2 linked regions of the Diceros bicornis minor genome follow. The protein of the gene in region 2 interacts with the protein of the main gene of each other region in a pairwise test. Links are inferred from orthologs where the notes say so. Each region holds a gene or a part of one and is shown on either strand. Other genes may lie near its edges.

Region 1 (10,215 bases), on a different chromosome or scaffold from region 2:
GTCCCTGCCCAAAATGGTCAATAGTATTTCCCCAGGATTTGAATCTTATCCTCAAAGGTTTGGCTCACATATAGGGCAGGACTGGAGAGGAAGGGGAGCACTGGCCAAGTCATTCACTGTCTAAACAAGACTGAAAAAGAAATATGCATGCCAGGTGAATGGTTTTAAATGAATTTTTAACATCTGCTACCCCTAACGTGCATCAAATATGCATGTATAAGACAATCCAGCAATTGTTTTCTACCTAAACATGTTTGTTGATTTCCACTCACATTATAGCCAGACCTACTTACTATTCTCCCATTGCAGTCCCTTATCCTCTGCAGAATCCCACTAAAGCATGATTCCATTCAGAAGAATAAGGGGAAGACGGGTGCCCAGGGAATTAACAAAGCTGAAAAGAACCCCAAGGAACACAGAGGCCAGTTCCTCTCAGAGGATGGGGGCGAGGAAGAGGAGGAGTTGGTCCTCCACCTTAAATTCAGATGTACATGTTGCAACATATCAGTTCCCAGGCAGAAAGGCAGCTGAAAAGGGCTTATTTTGGTTGCTGTTTTCCTAGTTCTGGAGGAACATTCCTAGAGTGGGGAAAATGTGGCTACACATCCAACAGCCAGTTGAATCAACTCGGACAATTAACAGAGTGACCTATAAAGTCACAAATATCAGATTTTAATCTCAGGGTTCCTGCATTTGTATAAGTGATATCACAAAAGAATGATATGTCCCCTAGACTATTTCTTTCCACAATGAGATTCTGAGGAAGAAATATGCCCCTCGTTGCATTTCCCCCAGTGTGATTTTCCCCAGGGCAGGCAACCTTTTTCAAAAAAGAGTGGTTCCAAATTTCTTATGTTTATGAAAACTAGAATTTGCAAAAACAACTGATAATTTAAATGACAAATAGGTTTATAGTATGTTAACCATCTGTGGTTTTCAAAAGAGTGTCATTTATGATTTCTTTGCTTTTGAGGGGAAGAAAAGTGAAGTTTATGCCTCAGAAAGCTTAAGCAGGAACTGATGATAAATTTTTGTAAAGGCTGGCAAAGAAAGGTCATATACAGTTTTCCTGACTGTGGATTACTGGGAATGGTATTTTCTCTGTTTTTGCACCTTCTTTTTGTGACTCAATTAAGGCAAGTGATGCTTGTCTCTTCTACCTGTCTGAATGTATATATTTTTTTCTTTTCTCTAATGTAACAAAACTAGTAACTTAAAAGATACCATCATTAGTGTACATATAACTGAGGGCTTACTTTATTGAATTATTTAAAAGTCTCACGTAATTAATATAATCTATACTAAAATGTATTATTACAACTACGATATGTTACTGGTATTATATAGAGAAGAGAAAAAATTATTCTGGATAATTAAAATTATTAATCCTCAAAAACAAAAAAAAGGCCTTTTCAAATGTGTTTAGAAAAAAATTACACAGGAAATTCAAGATTTTGCAAAAATATTTTAATAAAACATTCAAATAAATTTCAGTTAAACTTGCTAAACTTAATATTCTTATAATTACTTCTTATTTGGTTACCTAATCTATAAGAACAAAACCTGTTATACATAAAGAAGAGCATTTAGTACTACAGATAACACATCAGAACAAAAAATTTACAGAAAGTGTGGCATCCATGTATCATGCAACTACAACAGATTGTAATTTAATCCAAATATTGCCATATCGCATTTGAAGTAATCATTAACCACATTTTAAGAAAAAAGTATTCAAAGATGACCACATTATATAAACATGGTATAATCTTACTTTTTATGAACATAAACCTATGGTAATAAGAGCAAATCACTCAATAAACACTTGAACTGAGCATATGAATTCATAAGTTGCTATCTTTAGCACATCTGAATTAATTACTGTATTTAACAAGAGATAACAATATGACTATAATAAGCTAAATCCAAACAGAGAAAATAAGTCTAATGTAAAAACAAAAATTTTTTTTTGTTTTTGTCTCTTAGCTGGCTCCCTGACTGCATCTATTTTCTTCTAATACACGGCTATTTCAGAAAAAGAAGCTCCCACACAACTAAATAATAATTTTCAACTTTCTCTATACCTTTTCTCCCCCAAATTCATCCATCCAGGAGTATTTTCATTTGCTTGCTGGTAAATCCTATAAAAAGTCCAATTTATCCATCCCCATCTCCCTCTGAGCTTCAAATATGTTAAAAAAACAGAAAAGTTCAAAGCAGTTGGAAAAGCAGTGATGTTCCAAAGAATGCCAGTTGAGATCTTTTGCTGAAAAAATCTACTTCCTAGGGCCGGCCCGGTTGGGCAAGCGGTTAAGTGCGCGCACTCCGCTGCGGCGGCCCGGGGTTCACTGGTTCGGATCCCGGGCGCGCACCGACGCACTGCTTGGTAAGCCATGCTGTGGCAGCGTCCCATATAAAGTGGAGGAAGATAGTCCCATATAAAGTGGAGGAAGATAGGCACAGATGTTAGCCCAGGGCCGTCTTCCTCAGCAAAAAAAACAAAAAAAAAAAAAAGAGGAGGATTGGCGGATGTTAGCTCAGGGCTGATCTCCTCACAAAAAAAAAAAAAAAAAATCTACTTCCTAAAAGTCAACAGGTCAAACTCACAGCTGGAGGCGAGGGTCTTCAGAAAATGAAAAATCTTTTCGCCGCTTCAATCCGCGGACTTAAAATGCTCCCCATCCACAGTGGGGTAGATGTGGCCCTCGACGGTCAGATAATCAATGGCTTGCTTGATGGTCCCGATGCTCAGGCTGCAAAGCTCGGTTTGGAGCTCTTGAATGCTCTTGCCTTGCTGTCGAGGACACTCATGAATCAAACGCAGCACCTCCTTCGAGATGAAGTCAGGGCAGTACTCGCCGTACTCCTGAGCCTCATCAACTTCCGGTGGGGCAACAGGTGCATTTTGCCCAGAGGCCGCTCGGCGGGCTTTATCCAGCACCATGTGCGCGTTGACCGTTTCCAGAATATGTGCGGTGAACTCGTTCATGTCCTCCAGGACGCGGATTTTCAATACCTCAAGGCTCTTCACCCCCGCAGAACATTTGAGGATACCGAACACTTTGGCGTATACTCCCACTGGCAGCGGAGTCATCCCCTGCTTTGCTTTATCTCTGCCGACCCACTGGCGGACCTCAATAGGCTTGGTGGTCATATCATCAATTCTGTAAAGAACGTAGTTTGGAGCCGGCTCTGCCTTTCGGATTATCCCCACGATAGAGACCCGGGAAACTTCAATTCCCCTAATCGTGAAGACATCATCAGCCAGAGTGGAGGTGAGCAGCTGGTTTACACAACAAGGTATAATATCCTGGATTCGGGCCCTGGATCTTGAGGGCTTAGCAGCAGGAGCTGTGCCGCCGCCCTGAGACGGTCGGTCATTGCTTCCGCTGGCTCCACCCGCGGCAGAGATGCTGCCATAGCTCCCAAACCCTTTCTTACTCATGTTGAAGGCAGCTCAGGCAGCTGAGGAGGTGCGGTCGGATCTAGTCGGTGAGTTCCAAAGGCGGCTCTGACCTCCACAGACCGCTTCCCGCGAAGGCTTGGGCTTGTGACGACACAAGCAGCCTCACGCGACCTCTGGAGCCAATCAGGACCTACCAGCTTCTTGCCTGATCCCATAATTCTTTGTAGTCGTCTGGCGGTTGCTGGGCTGCATTTTAAAAGGCCCCCCATGTAATTTTAAGCCTTTCCTGCCGCCTTTATAAAAGTACATTTTTACTAGGTTTTTCCCCCCCTTCATTCCTCAATGCCACAACTTCTTCTATAGTCACTTCTTAAAGACTCATTTACTCATTCAATCAATTAACCATTTAACAAAATTTTTCAGAGCCTATCATAAGTGCACTATGGTACAGTACAGTAGGTTGGGGGGGCGGCGGGGGGGGATGGGCGGGCCTAGGGGGGTGGATGGGGGTGAGAGGGAACCACCACGATGGTTACTGTTCTTAAAGAACTCACATCCTTGTTCAAAGCATTAAAACTGGAAGCATTCTGGAAGAAATGGCAAGACAGCTACCTTTGAATGATTATCATATTCAAAAGTAAGTCACATCTTACCACTGTCTTTTTAAACTTTTTATTACAAAATTGTAAATTCCCAGTTATTCTACCAAATGCACTAAAGGAAAAAATAAATAATGTGATATATTTCAATTTATACATAAATCAAAATAGAATAACTGAGCTCTAAATTATTTTCAAGGCTCTGTGGATAGGTCAGAGAAATACAAGATGTCAGCCTCATTATATATTAGGAAAAACATGAGTAAAATCAAAATACAGTTTCTATATACCCTTATCCAGGAATTTCTGAATTTAAGATTCTAGCAATTATGTAAGCAGATCTCAGAATATTTTCATATTACATTGAAAGTCTATTTTTTCTTATAAAAATATTTTATTTTGGATGTAATTAATTTAAAGGCTTTTTTTATGGTTAATAAAGCAACATCAGTTACTGGAATCCACCATTGGCAAGGAACTTCTTCCTTAAAAATTCTTTGTAGTTAGGTAATAGCCTAAATGTGTATAGTTTTGAGGAGTTTATTAAAACTTGCTCTCATTTCTTTTATTGTTTAAAATAATTTAATTTTTGCCATCCCAAATTACAGAAATGTGTGAATAGTATATCTAAAACTTTTAGAAGCATATAAAATTATATTTACTTCTCAGGTTAAAAAGGAATAATATCATAGAGCCAATTACTTCATTTGTTTTACAAATAAATACATAATAATTGTTATATGAGTACACAGATTTCCATGTAAATGTGGATATTTAACTTCTGGATCCATGTTTTATATAATCAAAGAGGAATTAAACATCCAAGTAATATTTGTATTCTTAAAATTCTGTTATTAGAGATGATATTAAGATGATATATTTTTTAAATGTTTACAACCTCATAATCAGACACTGCTGTTTTATTAGCTAACTTCAGACTTCTGTTCAGAAAATCTTGAGGTTACAATGACATAACTGATTATATTCCCAACAATTATATACAGTACAAATTGTATGAATCATACCAAAACAGTAAGAACCACCTACCTGACAGGATTGCTGGTTAAGGAAACTCTCAGAGATTCTAGGCAATTAAGAAGTTTCTCATCTGAAATACCAGATCGTAATTCATGAACGTATTCTTGTGAAGACAGGGTGCATTCATGTTTGCTGTTTTTCAGTCCTCCCTGTAAAAAATAAACAAATAAATACCACTTTAGACAAATGACAGGTTTTAAAAAACCTTTTAAAATAAAATAATGCATAGAATATGTGAATATTTTACTGCATAATGTGTGCAGAGAGCTAGGCATGTAAAAATTCTTGGTCGCAGAATTGATGTGGTAAAATCATATTGCATATATGTCAACACTCTCCCTAGCCTCATTTAAAAGAAAATTACACTGCTGGTGCTCATGGCCTGAATAGAATATGGACTTGAGTTGCATAAAGTGTCACTGACAAGGATGCTTAAATTTACAGTCCAAGCATTAGGATTAACGTTAGCTGGTTCTTCTTAACCACAGAATGAACATTTAGAAATCATCTTATTAATTTTCCTAGCTAAGATATTTATATTCTATTCCACAAAATACAGTGAACAAAATTGAATATAAAACATTATACATAACCCCAATCCATTGAGATATATCAGAGTATCAGCCTATTTCAAAAAACAAATGAAAACGGTTATTAAATGTAAAACAATATAGTCTCCAGTTAGCATGTTAGTTAATCAAATTAGTCTAAAGCATTCACCAATTCCCAACTATTCATTCCTAACTATGTTACTCCCATGTTGTAGATTAATCTTAAAAAGTCATTGAATGCATTTATCTGATAGCGACTAGTTTTTAGCTTAATTTCCAATATACGGGAGTTATTTCTAGAACTCATTATCTCATCACAGCTCCTTAGCTTCATCACCTTGCCATAACTATGTAAGTAGTTTGGGGAAAAGGCTGGGAGAAAAACATCATCAACACATTCATTGTACTAATAACTCATAGTTTCACATTCTAGACACACATAATCATAACTTCCCCTTTCCTATATTACAAACATATCCCCCTGAATTAAAACTCTAGCATAAGTCCCATTTTCTAAGTTCATATGAATTACACTCAGTTTCTGCTAAGTATCTAAGCTAAAATACGGAAAGCAATTTTTTTTTCCATTTGGTAGAAGTCATATCATTAGAGGATATAGAATTTTTTAAAAAACCAATGTGTTAATAATGAGAAATGGATTCCCTAGGGTTTCATACTCTTTGGCTTTTTATTGAGAACGCCTCCTCAATATAGTAATTGTCAATCATTCTCAACGTCTGAATTTTTAAAAATTCCATTAAATAGTAAATGTTTAAAGTCTGCTAAAGTCTATGTAGGGGAATTGTATTTCCTTATAGCGCTGTGGCACTGTCACTCTTACAGCACTTAAGACATTGGGACAGAGGTCATAAGTTCTAGTTCTAGACTGGGAACTCCATGTATGCCAAGCATCTAACACAGTGACTGACTTTAGTGAGCCCCAACAAAAGTGTGCTGTTATTGAATCTGTCCATTACAATTACAGAACAAGGAATACAACTTCATACTTTCAGCTCCCATATTTTGTGTAATGGCCACTGACTTGATTTTTCTTGCTTTGTTAGAATATACAGTAGATGTTCAAGAAGTCTACTAGATGAATCACCACATAGATGCACCGTAAGTAAAAACATCACCATGAAATCATTTCCACGTATCTATAACATATTTACCCATCTCTTTAGGCTACAGATCCACAAAGAATAATAGCAAGTAAACATTTATAGCATAAAATTTTGCAAGTCTACAGTCACATACCACTTCCGTATGATCCTCAAACTTGTTTTCTTAATTAATGGATAACAAGGCCCTACTGATCCTCCCCTGGAGGCTTGTATATAGAGCTTATTCCTGTAGAACGACCTTTGTATTTGCTGTATTCTCTGCCTAAAAGACTCTTACCCCTGACCTCTCCATTGCTGGCTCTCATCATTTAAGTCTCAGCCCAATAGTCTTCTCTCCTCCACACTCCAGTTATCATCCCAACATCATTTTAAATCTCATTTATAGTATTAGCTCTATATAAGTTTATCTTGTTTAGCACTTTATTTGTTTACTGTGTCTTCCTCATTAAAACATAAGCTCTATGAGGCAAGAATCTTGCCTACCTTGTTCACCACTGTATCTCCAGATCTTAACACAGTGCTTGGCACACAGTAAGTACTCAATACATATTCATTGAATGAATGAATGGATGGATGGATGGATGGATGGATGGACAGATGGTTAATAAACAAACGGGTGAATGACTGATGAGTTTCAACATGAAGAAGCTTCCAAACTCAGTTTAGTTTTGCTTCAGAATATTACAGTTCTAAGATGTTCCATTACAATATATTTCGAGATGCTAGTAACAGCTCAAACAGCTCAAACTGCCACTGGGTTTGAATCACGGCTCCCTCACTTACCTTCTAGATAATCTGTGAGCAGGCTATTGAACTAATCTCTATAAACCTGTTCATTAATCCATGATATACGGGTAATAAACACCTACCCCACATGTTTGTTACGAGGATTAAGACAATGCATATAAAGTGCCTAAAATGGGCATTTCCTATGTGTTGCCTCATAGACAGAGTAAGCTGCTCAGAAAATGTTAGTTCCTGTCTGCCTTACGGTCGTGGCTAAGATACTCTTTATGGAACAACTGGGCCAGCCCATCACATTGGGACTTACCTCTTCCCCAGGTCTTAGAAATAAGTTTAAGTTGTATAATTTAGGATACTCTGTGGTTATAAGGAGTGGAAGCAAACAATCTAATGGAGCAAGACAGAGAATATATAACCTTATAAAACAAATGCCTTTTATCAAGTTAGAAGGATTCTGGGGTTTTAACATAAGTTCATATTTGAAAACATGATAGCATGTAAAGGCTAGACCAGCCCTTCTAATACCCTCATTACAGAAATAGAGAATCAAGGTGATTGGAAAGTTCACATAATTAGTGAGGTTGTGAGAATAAAACACTAATATTCTGGTCCTCAGGTTACTTCTTTTTCCACTATATGTCACTTTTTCTTATTATGGAATGAAAAATTAAAGCAACAAGTATTTAATTCTGAAATCTCTATTACAAAATGTCAAAGTATCTTTAGCATAGTCAATATGGTGCAACATAATATTAAAGAAATCACCTAAAAACAAAACAGTGCAATAGATTAAACTAATTCTCACTATATTTAATAGGGCTGTAATACAAAAATGGCTTATTATTAACATCCTGTTCTGATACTGAACAAAGGAAACAACTAGATAATGGATGGATAATAATGGAAATTTTAATTAGCTGCTCTGTATGAGATTAATGAAAATTACCACTGTGCCCATTTGATCTCTAAAAAATACTGCAGACAAAGTGAGCAATTAGCGTACATCATGCTATTCCAAAGCTAGGTGAACAAAAAGCTTTCCTAATTTGAAGCCATTCCTTAATTTGAAAATCATTAGGATGGAGATCCTTGTCAGTGTGACTGTGCTTGTATTATTCTAAGACACTACACAGAGAACCCAAAGGTTCTTTGGGTCAGTGTAATAATCTCGTTCCCCTTACTCTGAGATGAAACGTTAGTATCAAAACCAGACGAGCAATATTCTAAAAAGAACATTTTAAGTTTGCCGTGGAGATACCACTTCGGATTTTAGATTGACTTAGTCTGAGCATGATCTGTCATTCTTTAATGTAAATTCTGATTTACTTATAATTTGAGGAAAGGCTTCATAGTTCTAAGTTGTCAAGGTATCTTGCTGCAGACACTGGAAGAACTATTGATTGTACACAGATCTTTTCAACTACAGCATGCACACAAATAGCAATTACTATCAGGGGTGTCATCTTCAAATAGGAAGGATAATATTATTGTCATGAAAACAATAATTCCATTACTGTCATTGACCATGATTTATAAACCCTAATGTAGTCAGGTTTCTTTGGCTACTTTAATTAAGTGAGATTCTTAGCTATCACTGCAGATCTCTGAAAAAGGAAGGTTACAGATTAACAAATTTGGAACTATATCTATACACAGAGTTGTTCTTTAAGAGGCTCCTATAACTTTAAAAGCATAAGAAATGGAAAAGCCATTTTCATCATCATCAGTTCCTTGAGTTCCAGTAGGAAAACACAAAACAAATGTTTGATCTAAGTCAATCTACATATTTATTCTAATAATGATGTATTTGGTGGACTATAGGACTCTGAATATATTGTTAAACCTTTAGATGGCTTCTCTGCAGTTATATAAGAAAAACATCTCATCAAGGGAGATTATTAGAATTAAGTAATTTATCCAAATTTATCCAATGTTTCCAAAAAATACAAAAGGTATTTTAAAATAAATATATCACATTACAACATTTTAAATAATTTTATATGCAATTTGCAGTGAAAATTCTTTAAACTGCATGAAAAATACTGCATAAAAGATACAATGTATTATCAATTCAGGGTCTGTAAGATAAAAACAAAAAAATACCATCATGAGATAACTTCATATAGTGTCATTTCCCATTGCAGGACACAATGTTTTTAAGTAAGACCTTTTCAGAGGCCATAAGTGATATGTAAAGTAGGAGAACATATCCTAAATTCTAGGACAGAAAAAAAAAAAAAACTTTGTTATAGCAATATAGAAGCATCATAATTCTTCAGATTATACATACCATTTGTCCCAAAAGGATTTAACTAACTAAGCATATTTAAATATGATTAGCTAAACTGTTTAAAGAAAAGTATAAGATTTTCTATGAGAAAGCATTTATTGTTTACTTATTGAAGCTTCTATATTAAATACCAGATTAAGCAATTCATCCCCAAGTTATAGAATCTAAGACTATCACAGAACAAACACTTAAATCATTCTTTCATCACATATACTATTAGAAATGTCAAGTACACAGAGAAACTCTAAACATATATTTAAATTCTGTGGTCCTATTGTTATTTCTTCTGTTGTGAAACACATACTTTTTATAGAGTACGCAGGCAAATGCTTCATAATAACATCAAGTAATTACTCAATTAAATACACAATAAATTTTAATTTTTAACATAAACTGAGACAAAAAGGAGATTTTTAATAAGTAGATTATTGATCCTAAAACAATGAACTTCATTTCTTGTAAA
Region 2 (11,935 bases):
AAGGAAGAAATAAAACTATCTTTATTTGCAGATGAAATGATCACGTACACAGAAAATTCTAAGGAATCTACAAAAACCTACTATGTCAATTTAGCAAGTTTGCAGGATACCAGGTTAATATGCAAAAATCAATTGTATTTTTATATACTACCAACAAACAACTGGAAAATGAAACTTTAAAAAATACTATTTTAGGGGCCAGCCCCATGGCGTAGTGGTTAAGTCTGGCACGCTCTGCTTCAGCAGCCTGGGTTCGTGGGTTCAGATCCTGGCTGTGGACTTCCACCACTCATCAGCCATGCTGATATATATCCACCCACATACAAAGTGGAGGAACTTTGGCACAGATGTTAGCTCAGTGCTAATCTTCTTCAAGCAAAAAATAAAAAGAGGAAGATTGGCAACAGATGTTAGCTCACAGGTAATCTTCGTCAGCAAAAAAAAAAAAAAAATTTTAATACCATCAAAAGTAAAATAAATACCTAGTGTAACAATACATGTACAAGACCTGCACACTGAAAAGTACAAAACACTGAGAGAAATTAAAGAAAACCTAAATAGGGGACAGTCCCCTGGCGTAGCAGTTAAGTGCACGCACTCCACTGCTGGCAGCCAGGGTTTGGATCCTGGGCGCACACAGACGCACCGCTTGTCAGGCCATGCTGTGGCGGCGTCCCATATAAAGTGGAGGAAGATGGGCACGGATGTTAGCCCAGGGCCTATCTTCCTCACCAAAAAAAAAAAAAAAGAGGAGGATTGGCATGGATGTTAGCTCAGGGCTGATCGTCCTCATCAAAAAAAAAAAAAAAGAAAAAGAAAACCTAAATAAATGAGAGATATACCAAGTCCATGGTTTGAAAGACTCAATGTCTGTAAGACGTCAATTGACCCCAAATCGATTTATAAATACAATGTTCTATCAATCAAAATCCCATCAGGCTTTCTTTATCAGAAACTGACAAGCTAATTCTAAAACGTATATGAAAGTACAAAGAACCTAGATTCAGTAAAACAATTTTGAAAAAGAATGAAGCTGGGGAATTTACACTATCCAATTTCAAGACTTACTATAAAACTACAGTTATGAAGACAATACGGTATTGGTCTAAGCATCAACATATAGAGCAGTGGCAGAATAGACATTCCAGAAACAGACCCACACATATATAGATTAATTTTTATCAAAGGTAACAAACAATGTTATTCAACGGAACACTATAGTCTTGACAACAAATGGTGCTAGAACAACTGAATACTTCATGGGAAAAAAATGATCCATACACAATACATAAAAAAATAAACTTGAAATGGATTACAGACCTGAATACAAACTAAAACTATAAAACTTCTAGAATAAAACACAGGAGAAAAGATTTGTGACCTTGGGGTAGGCAAAGATTTCTTAGGACACAAAAACACGATTCAGAAAAGGAAAAAAAAAATAAAGTGGACTTCATCAAAATTTAAAACTGTTCTTCAAAAAAACACCATTAAAAGAATGAAAAGGCAAGCCTCAGATTGGGAGAAAACTTATGTAATGCTTGTTATTTAACAAAAGACATATCCAGATTAAATAAAGAATTCTTACAACTAATTAATAGGAACACAACCCAATTTTTAAAATTTTACCAAATACAAATTAAAACCACAGTCAGATACCACTACACATTCACTAGAATAGTTAAACTGACAAAACTAAGCGTTGGTGAGGATTTGGAGCGACTAGAACTCTCATAACTACTTTGGAAAACAGTTTGGCAATTTCTTATAAAGATAAACATTCAGTTACCATATGACCCAGCCATTTCACTCCTAGGTATTTATCCCAGAGGAATGAAAACATATTTCCACAAAAAGACTTGTATATAAATGTTCATAGCCTCCTCACTCATAATAGCCAAAAAATGAAAATAACCCAAATGTTCAACAACAATAGGGAAATACACAAATTGTGTTTTCTCATACAATGGAATACTACTCAGCATTAAAAAGGTGCAAACCACTGAAATAACATGGATAAACCTCAAAAAACATTTTGCTGAGAGAAAGCCAGACACAAAAGGGTACCTATTATTTGATTCCACTTATATGAAGTTTTAGAACAGTCAAAACTAACTTAAAGAGATAGACACCAGAACCCAGAGCAGTGGTGCCTGGGAATGAGCAGGGGATGGGGAAGCAGCAGGAGACTGGGGTGGTGTGGTTACAGGAGTATATACAACAAACTGCACACAGTTTGATGAGTTTTTATTATATGTATTCATCATATGTATTATAGTTTTTATTACAGGTAAATCAAACTGAACTTCAATAAACATGATTTTAAAAAGTAGCTGTTTCTAGGGAACAGAACTGGGGCAAGGTGGGGCAGTGGGTCAGTAACTTCATCAAACACCTTTCTGTTCTATTTGATTTGAAAACCGCATGCAAGTATTACTTTATTATTCTTTTTAATTTGTGTCATCATTAATAGTGAATATAAGATTTACTCTTCTAGGACATATAGCATGATATGTACACTTGAGACAAAACTGCCTTAACTTTCCCAAACTAACATTGCTAACAGAAATACAAAGCAAAAGAATGTAATAGTCAAGGGCACATGCGTTCAAATCCTCACCCCACTGACAAATTATTTACCTTCTTTGCACTTTAATTTCTTCATCTGTAAGACGAGGGTAATGATAAAATTCTACCTTACAGTGTTACTGTAAATAGTGACTACTATAAAGTATCTGGCACACTGGAAATGGTCAAAAATTAGTTCTCTTCCCCTTTCTTTATATTACCGATTACTTACGAGACAAATGCTCTTTATTCTATTTACCACAATAGTTCCATGCATAATCTCTTATTTCATGATGTTAGCTCTTGCCCCAAATGCCTCTACTATTTGTGTTAGTTGCTTATCCTTTCAGGCCTGTGTCTTTTGAACTGAAATGACACTACTTGCTTTAGCCGGTAATCAAAATTGACAAGGGTTCTCCACACTCCGTCACCACAAACACAAAAATTTTCTTGGTCATTTATAAATAAAACCTAAGTAATACTTCACCTAACACTGGAAATGTTTCCAAAATTTTGAATATAGCAAAAACTAATCAAATTATTTAAATAACACCAGGATCCTTCTTTTTAAAAGTGAAGAACAATTCCTAATTTGTCTTCAAGACATAAGGTAGCAGCTGTAAAGTAAATGAGGACTACAATTCGCAATCACTTCTCAGGACTAATTATTCCTAATTTACTCAAATATTCACTCGACTCTGCCAACTGTTCTTCCCCATCCATCTCTGCCCCTTTCTTTTCACTGCCTCATAGGCACCTAGACAACATTTACTGGGCACCTCAAACTTGCCAGCACTGCTCCAGGTACTGGAGAGACTATGTTGAGCAAAACCACAGGCATAATTTCAGGCCTCAAAGAATTTACAATTGGGGGGGAGACAGAAAGTAACTGTTATTAATCAAATAAACAAATAAATGTAAAATTACATCTGTGATTATTAATAATAGGCAACATATACTGAGCATTTACTCTGTATCAGACAGGGACTAAGCACTTTAAATGTAAGTGCTCACTTAATCCTCCCACTAACCTTAGGCAAGAAGTACTAGGTATCATTAGTCTCATTTTACAGAAGAGGAAAGGCAGAGTTTAGTATCCTGCCCAAAATCATAACAGCTAATAAGTGAACAAACAGGAATTAGGGTCTCAAAATAAAGGGATTTAGCCTAGCAAGGGAAGTCAAAGAAGGTTTCTCTGAGAAGTAACTGAGCTGAGATATGAAGATTATGTTAGCCACTGAAGGGAGACTAAAGAGCCACCTAGGCAGTAGGCAGAGGGAAAAGAATGGTCAAAGGCCCTGTGGAAAGCAAGAGTATGGAATATACCAGGAACTTAAATAAAAAAAAAAAGCCTGGAAAGGAGGAGAGAACAAGTGGGAATATGCTATGATGGGAATGGCAGGAGGATGATTATGCCGGATGGAAGTGAGTAGTCCAGGCCAGAAACGATGGTGTCAATGTCGATGGAGAGAAGTAGATGGATTTAAGAGATACATGTAGTAAAACACACCGGACTTGGTGATGGACTGGACCTCAGGCTGATGGAGTTTGTAGGAAGAATGATTCCACAATTTCTGGCTAGCATAACTTAACGGATAATGGTGCCATTCATCCAGCTGGGGATCAGAGGCCCAAACTTAGGAAGATAATGTATTTGCTTTGCGACATGTTGAATTTAAAATGCCTTTGAGATATCAGGTAGGCAGACAGATTACAAAGGTTTGTCTTTCAGAGTAAAGGTGGCTCCGGACAAAGACATTAGTGAGCAATTGACATATGGATGGTAATGAGGTTGTCCTGGGAGAATAGAGCCTAGAGAACAGCCATGAGTCAACAGAAATTTACAAAGAGGGACCTGCAAATAAGACTGGGAAAGACCAGCCCACCTGAGCCACAAAAGCCAACAGTAGAGGGTGTTATCAGAAAGAAAGAATACTCAAGAGACTCAAACGCTGCTGAGAACGCTGGTAAACTGAAAACCGAAACCTGTCTATTGGATTTAGCGACTTGGAGGGACTGCTACCTTCAGCCAAGGTTACTTCTATGTGATCCTAGAAGGGACCGACTACAGTCGGTTAAAGCGTTAATGGGAGATGACGACATGAAATAGCTGAAAACAGACAAGTCTGCAGAAGTTTGGCCGTGGGCGGAGGAAGGGGAGGAGACAGAGGGCGCGGGAGGGAGATGGAAAATCAACAGTTTATTTTGCTTCGTTTTCTTAAGCAGGAAAAACATGAGCATGTTTACAAGACGATAGGAAAAACCGTGTGATTCTAGGGAGTCAGCCGGCGGTTCCCCCCCGCATCCCGCGCCCGCTGTCTCCTCCTCTCGCGTTCTCTCCCCACGGCCCCCAGCTCCTCTCCCCCTTCTCCACCCGCAGAGCCACCCTAGCCCGCCGGCCCGGCTCGCGGCCGTCTTCTCACCGCAATGGCCCCCTCGCTCAGGTACCCCACCATGGCTCCAACGCGCCAACTCCCGCGCTCCGGCTTCTGCGCAGCCCGCACTTCACTCCCCGGGGACCCCACGCTCCAAAGCAATTGGCCCGAGGCGCTGCGTGCGCCGCTCCCGCCTCCCGGCGTGCGCACGGCGCAGGGGCGGGCCTAGGGGCCGAGCAGCCCTCTCATTGGCCGAGGCGCGGCGGGCGGCCTAGGTGATCCGCCCGTGCCCAGGTTGGGGGCCTGGTCGCAGGATGGCGGGGCCCGGGGGCGGGGCGCCAGGCCGCCGGGCGCGCCGACGGTGACGCGGACGCAGCGAAGCGCGCGGGTGGCCAGTTCCGGGAGCTTTCCGAGCTGGGTTTCGGAAACAGACCGGCTCAGTCTTTGGCGGGCAGACCGACAGGTAGCCCAGAGAATTAGTGCTGCTCCCTGATAACTCTGCTGCTAAATGTCGTCGAAGCAGTGACTTGATTCCTTCAGCAGCCCGGTGCTGAGCTCCCGCCGGTGCCAGACCCTGCGCTTGGCACAGTGGGGGGCTCTGAAGGTAAATAAGACCCGGTCCCTGCTTTCAGAGAGCACAGTCTGTCCAGGAGTTTCCGCTGTGAGTAGCCGTAACTCAAGGTAGACGGGGTATGGGCCCCAGGAGAGAGAGACAGTGTGCTGTGATCACGGATGGAAAATCAGGGAAGGCTTCCCGGAGGAGTTGTCATTTGCACTGAGTCTTGAAAGATGTGTGGAAATTTGCCAGCTGGACTGCAAGTGAGGGTAGGGATGCTCCCGGAAGCATGAATAGTTTATGCAAAAACTAGGCAGATGAACAGCCTGGCAAGCTGGGGATAGCTTTGAGTAGCTCAGGATAGTAGGATACAGAGGAAGAAGTGAGACTTGAGCATTAGAAAGTAAGGCAAGGGTCCGGCCGGCCCGTGTTAAGTGCCCGTGCTCTCCTACTGGTGGGCCCAGGTTCGGATCCCTGGCGAGCACCCACGAAATGCTTGTGTGGCCATGCTGAGGTGACATCCCACATACAGCAACTAGAAGGATGTGCAACTATGACATACAACTATCTACTGGGGCTTTGGGGAGAAAAAGGGAAAAAAAAAGGAGGAGGATTGGGAATAGATGTTAACTCAGAGCTGGTCTTCTCAGCAAAAAGAGAAGGATTGGCATGGATGTTAGCTCAGGGCAGATTTTCCTCACAAAAAAAAGTAAGGCAAGGGTCAAATAATGAGGGATTTGTACTTGGCTTCCCTGTGCTAGGAGGAGCTATTGATGAATTTAAGGCAAAGGACTGACATCTGCCTCACTGTGGAAGATGGATTGAATGGGGGGAGGGTGTTACTGAGGGCATGGAGACTAGTTATGACACTCTAGAAAGAATGCCAGACAAGAGATAGTGAGGGCTTGAACTAAAGGAATGACCTAGGGATAAGAAAAAACCGAACTAGAGAGAGATATTTACTTAATAGTTGCTGGGCAGAGTGAGAAAGGAAAATCGGGATGTCTCTCAGGTTTCTGACTTGAGCCTAGGGTAGATGGAGGGCTAAGAGGACAGATCGTGGCTAGCTGATCACCTAGTGGTGCCTAGAACAAAGTAGGCTTTCGGTAAATATTTCTGAATGAAAGGATGTTGAGTGAATTGGTGTGAGAGAATATAGATCCTTCCTCAGCATATAAACAGCTATAGAAAAAGACCACGAGAATTGATTTTGTTGCTTCATGCTGGCTTAAATGAAATCTTGACTAGAATTGTGCATTTGTACAAATTGAATTCCTCATTTTCTTATTCGTTTTATAGATCTAAAGTAACATGGATCTGCCCGTGGATGAGTGGAAATCGTATGTCCTTCAGAAGTGGTCTTTGCTCCCGATGTCGACTCAGGTCACAATTTCTACAGCAGAGACTGTGAGAGATATTTTTCTTCACTCCTCTTCGCTTCTTCAGTAAGTGAGGGGAAGCTTTTTTTTTTTTTTTTTTTAAGATTTTATTTATTTATTTTTTTCCCCAAAGCCCCAGTGGATAGTTGTATGTCATAGCTGCACATCCTTCTAGTTGCTGTATGTGGGACTCGGCCTCAGCATGGCCGGAGAAGCGGTGCCTCGGTGCGCACCCGGGATTTGAACCCAGGCCACCAGCAGTAGAGCATGCGTACTTAACTGCCAAGCCACGGGGCTGGCCCCATGAGTGGAAGCTTTAACCAGGGAAATTTTGATCTGCAAAATGTTCTCTTTTGTCATTTGCTTTCAAGTTATATCTCTTTTTTTTTTTTTTTTTGTGAGGCAGATCAGCCCTGGGCTAGCATCCATGCCAATCCTCCTCTTTTTTTTTTTTCTTTTTCTTTTTGCTGAGGAAGACTGGCCCTGAGCTAACATCTGTGCCCATCTTCCTCCATTTTATGTGGGATGCTACCACAGCATGGCCTGACAAGCGATGCGTCTGTGCACGCCTGGGATCTGAACCCGGGCCGCCAGCAGTGGAGCACGCGCACTTAACCACTACGCCACGGGCCGGCCCCAAGTTATATCTCTTTTTAATGGAAGGATTAAGCTCAGATTTTTATATTTGGGGGCATTCAGCAGTTCTTGCTATTATCAGTGTTTTCTAACCTACTGTTATAGAACAGGTAGGGATGCTATTTAGCTTTTTCAGTGTCAGTACAATGTTTCAATAATCATGCCTTGCTATAGTCACTAGGCTGTGAGCCCTGCCATATCCCAAAGGATATAGCGGAGATTTATTAGCTGCACGTAGAAATTCATAAGCGCTCAAATTTGACAGGACCTTAGAGGTCATATAGTCTAATCCCAGTAGTTTTCAAACTCTCTTGACTACACTCCTCAGTAAGAAATACACTTTGCATCACAACCTAGTACACATATACATATGTAGAAAACTGAAACAGGAGTTTCCCAAAACTTGATTCAGTAAATTTTTGTTGATCACCTATTTTGTGCCAGCCACTGTGCTATATGTTTAGTGAACAAAAAAATACATCAGTAAACAAAAAATAGACAAAGATCCTTACCTTTGAGAGGTTAATTCTAGCGAGGAGGAACAGACAATAAACATCATAAATAAGTTAAGTATATAACGTGTTAAAGGTGATAAGTACAGAAGGAAAAAAAAGAACAGGGTAGGGGAAACAGACAGTGCTAAGAGCAAGAGTGCGGGTTGTAGTATTAAATAGTCTGGTCCGATAGGCCTCATTGAAAAAGTGAAAGTTGAGCTAAGTCTTGGAGATACAGGCGTTAACAAAGTAGATATCTGAGAGAAGAGCGTTCCAGGTGGAGATCCTAAGGTGAGAGAGTGTCTGGCATGTTCAAGAACAGCAGGAAGGCTAGTGTGGATGAACAGAGTAAGCCAGAGGGAGAGTAGGGGGAAATAACATCAGAGAGGTAATAGGACATGCACAGGGGCTCGGGGAAAGCAGGTAGCACAAATCGTGTTGGCCCTTGTAAGTGCCTTGTCTTTTTACTCTGAGGAGGAAGTTATTGCAAGGTATCGTAGGCAGATTTCTAAAGGTGGCCCACGGCATTCTTGTCCCCTGGTTATTCAATCTAACATTAACCTAAGTGCTGCTGTGAAGGGATTTTGCAGATGTAATGAAAATCCTAAATAAATTGACCTTGAGATACAGTTATCTGGGTGGGCCTAACCCAGTCTGATGAGACCTTTAAAAGCAGAGAATTTTTTCCAGCTGGTAGTGGAAAGGGAAATCAGAGAGATTCAAAGCAGGAGATTTGAATGTGCTTTTGCTGACATTAAAGACGGAGGGGACCACATGACAAGAATGCAGGCAGCCTCTAGAAGCTGAGAGTGCTTTCTGGCTAATAGCCAACAAGGAGATGGGGACCTCAGACCCACAGTTACAAAGAACTGGCTTCTGTCAACATCCTGAATGAGCTTAAAAGAGGATTCTTTCCCAGATCCTCCGTGTAAGTGGTCACCTTGATTAGCCTTGTGAGACCCTAAGCAGAGAACCCAGTCAAGCCTGCCTGGACTTCTGATCTACAGAACTGTGAGGATAGTCAATGGGTGTTGTTTTAACCTGCTGAATTTGTGCTGATTTGTTACGTAACAATAGAAAACTAATTCACAGGGTTTTAAGAGAAGAGTGATATGATCTGATTATCTTTTAAAGCAGAGGTCAGCAAACTACAGCCTGTGTAGTAAATCCATCCACTGCCTGTTTTTGTATGGCCATCAACTAAGAATGGTTTTTACAGAGAAACGTTTGTGGTTGATTTGATGTTAGGGAACACTGGCTTTGAACTCCAGTTAAGCAAATTGATATCTATTTTTTAAAAAAAAGAATTCCGTTTTTCTCATTAGTAGACCTGTATTATAAAAATATTATACTCAATTATTATTATATTTTGAATTTTGTCAATAAAAAGTTTTTACAAATGTGTTTCCTTATTTTTTATAGAAGTACCTATGTAATAGCCTCAATTTTACCTCTTAGCCCACAAAGCCTAAATATTTACTCTCTGGCTTTCTACAGAACATTTGCTGACCCCTGTTTTAAAGGATTGCCCTGACCACTGTGGTGATGATAGACTATAGCTGGAGCAAGAGTGGAAATAAAGAGACCTGTTGGGAGGCTACTGCATGAATGTAGGTGAGAGAGGAGGTGATGGTAACTTGGACCAGGGTGGTAGTAGTGGGGGAGTGATGAGAAGTGGTTGGATTCTGATGATAGACTTAATAGCATTTCCTGATGGATGGGATATGGTGTGTTAGAAAATGAGAGAAGTAAAACATGACTCTAGGGATTTAGGCCTAAAGGGCCAAAGGTAGAAGGATGAAATTACCGTCACTTGGGAAGGCTGCAGAAGGAGCTATTTGAGGAAGGAAGATCTGGGGTTCATATTTCAGTTTGAGATGTCTATGAGACGTCCGAGTGGAGATGTCCAAGTGGTCGTGGAGTTCAAGAGAAAGGCCTGGGCTAGAGATGTAAATCTGGGCGTTGTACATGGCATTTTGAGCCATGAAACTGGTTAAGTTCACCAAGGAAGACAGTGTAGATGCCTACTGCATCTGATGTACTTTGTATTTTCCCTCCTACTTACCTCATTTAAAAAGTACTCATCAGGACCAGCTAAATTGATTTCACGACCCATTGCATCATGACCTGCAGTTTGAAAAATAGTGTGTGAAGCTCTGCAGGTCTGTGGATTCCTTTTACAGAATTTCCAGAAATGATGGAGAACTGCCAATGAAAACTTTGGATAATAGGCAGAGTTTTCCAAAGATAGCTGATATAGTGTACTAACCAGCAAAAAGGAATAATTCATGAGAATCATTTGACATTTTGGTGCACTGAAAGAAATATAAATCAAAGAAGAGGATTTAATTAGGCTTTGTGGGCTAAGAGGTAAAATCGAGGCTATTACATAGGTACTTCTATAAAAAATAAGAAAACACATTTGTAAAAACTTTTTATTGACAAAATTAAAACGCCATTTAATATTGGCGTTCCTCAAGACTCCAGCCTAGCCTCTCTCTCTTTTTCACTCTGTATTCCCAACCGATGCAGCCTCATTCACACCCATGTCATCAACTACCTCCTATATGCTGATTACCCTCAAAATTATATCTCCAGCCCTCACTTCTCCTCTGAGACTCAAATCGTTAAATCCACCTGACTACTTAAAGTCTCAAAGATACTTAAAAGTCAACACATCAAAAACCAAACTCACAATCTTGCCCTTAAAATTGGATTCCCTTCCAGTGGTCCCCATTTTAGTGAATTGCACTGCCTTATTTCACTTCCTAAAGGTAGAAACCTATGAACCATTCTATATTAAACAGCTGCCATGATTTTCCGCCTGTCTATGTCAGATCATTGTGATCCCTTAGTGAATTACACCACCATCTGTCCAGTTCCTACCCAGAAACCTAGGAGTCATGCCTGATATTTCCTTCTTCCTCACGCCTCATATTAAATCTATTCCCAAATTTTGTCTGTTGCAGGACTATGAATGCTAGATTTCTTTCACATTTTGCAAATAGGACTTCTTCTTCTGGGTAGGATATGATAGGTCACAACAGACAACACTCCATTACAACTAAAAAAAAAAATTGATGTTGTAATACTCATATTTTTAAAGACATCAGACAGTGATGAGGACTAGATGGACTAAAATTCCAAAGAGGGAAGATTCCTTCCTAGGTGATCACCAGCCATTGTCTTTTCTGGGGGTAATTAAATGCTGAGGATCAGGCTGGCCCTAAGCACAGGGATTATCCTGGGGGAAACTGAAACTAGCAGACCTTTTGGCGATCATTTGGGGCCGATGTGATGGATTGGAAACTAGAGGAGGCCCAAGCTCAAGGCCCAAATGCAAAGTCAGTTCGCCTCATGGGACATTTACTGAGTTCTCAGGAAGTACAGGAGGCCACTCAAAAAGGCAGAATGAAATCTCCTGCGATCTTGCAGTGCTGAGGACCAAAATCCCACTAGTGGAAAGGGACCTGCAACACACAAGCAATCTCTTTGTCAAGACATTTGCCGGATTTTGAACCTCTGTGGTGTGGTAAGTTAAAAATTGAAGTTCAAAATGTCCTAAGACCAAAACTTTCAGGCATGAGCAGACAGAGACTTTCCAGGCTCTTAACCAAAAACTCAGGAGGGCTACGCCCAAGGAACAGGGAGAAAGCAGAGGTGTACTGAGTTTTAATGAAACTGTAGCCCAACCCTGATCCAGCTCAATTTTTGATTGGATAAGGTAGGCCAGCCCCTCTTCTTCTCTTCCTAACATAGGAAAGGGGGCACTTTTGTGGTGGAAGATGTCATCTAGCTTCATTACGTCTTCTATCTACAGTGTCAGGAATACAGGTAAAAATTACGAAACATGCAAAGGGGCATAAAAGTGACCAATAATGAAGAGAAAAAATAAACATTAGAACTATATCAACTGATGTCCACATA

What was found.
Region 1: the proteins of RPA1 (region 2) and RPA4 interact in binary tests that used the Homo sapiens proteins (3 or more experiments, as listed by UniProt). The link is inferred for Diceros bicornis minor from reciprocal best matches to the Homo sapiens genes RPA1 and RPA4.

What each region holds. Positions count from the first base shown.
Region 1 is NC_080781.1:90,646,891-90,657,105, reverse strand, and holds RPA4 (replication protein A 30 kDa subunit), read right to left. Parts: upstream 3,974-10,215; 5' UTR 3,446-3,973; coding exon 2,654-3,445; 3' UTR 2,575-2,653; downstream 1-2,574. Other genes in the region: DIAPH2 (protein diaphanous homolog 2), read right to left, coding at 5,053-5,192.
Region 2 is NC_080757.1:15,949,014-15,960,948, forward strand, and holds the start of RPA1 (replication protein A 70 kDa DNA-binding subunit), read right to left. Parts: upstream 5,101-11,935; 5' UTR 5,025-5,100; coding exon 4,992-5,024; intron 4,603-4,991; exon of another isoform or gene 4,525-4,602; intron 1-4,524. Other genes in the region: SMYD4 (SET and MYND domain-containing protein 4), read left to right, coding at 6,811-6,944. UniProt on the Homo sapiens protein: As part of the heterotrimeric replication protein A complex (RPA/RP-A), binds and stabilizes single-stranded DNA intermediates that form during DNA replication or upon DNA stress.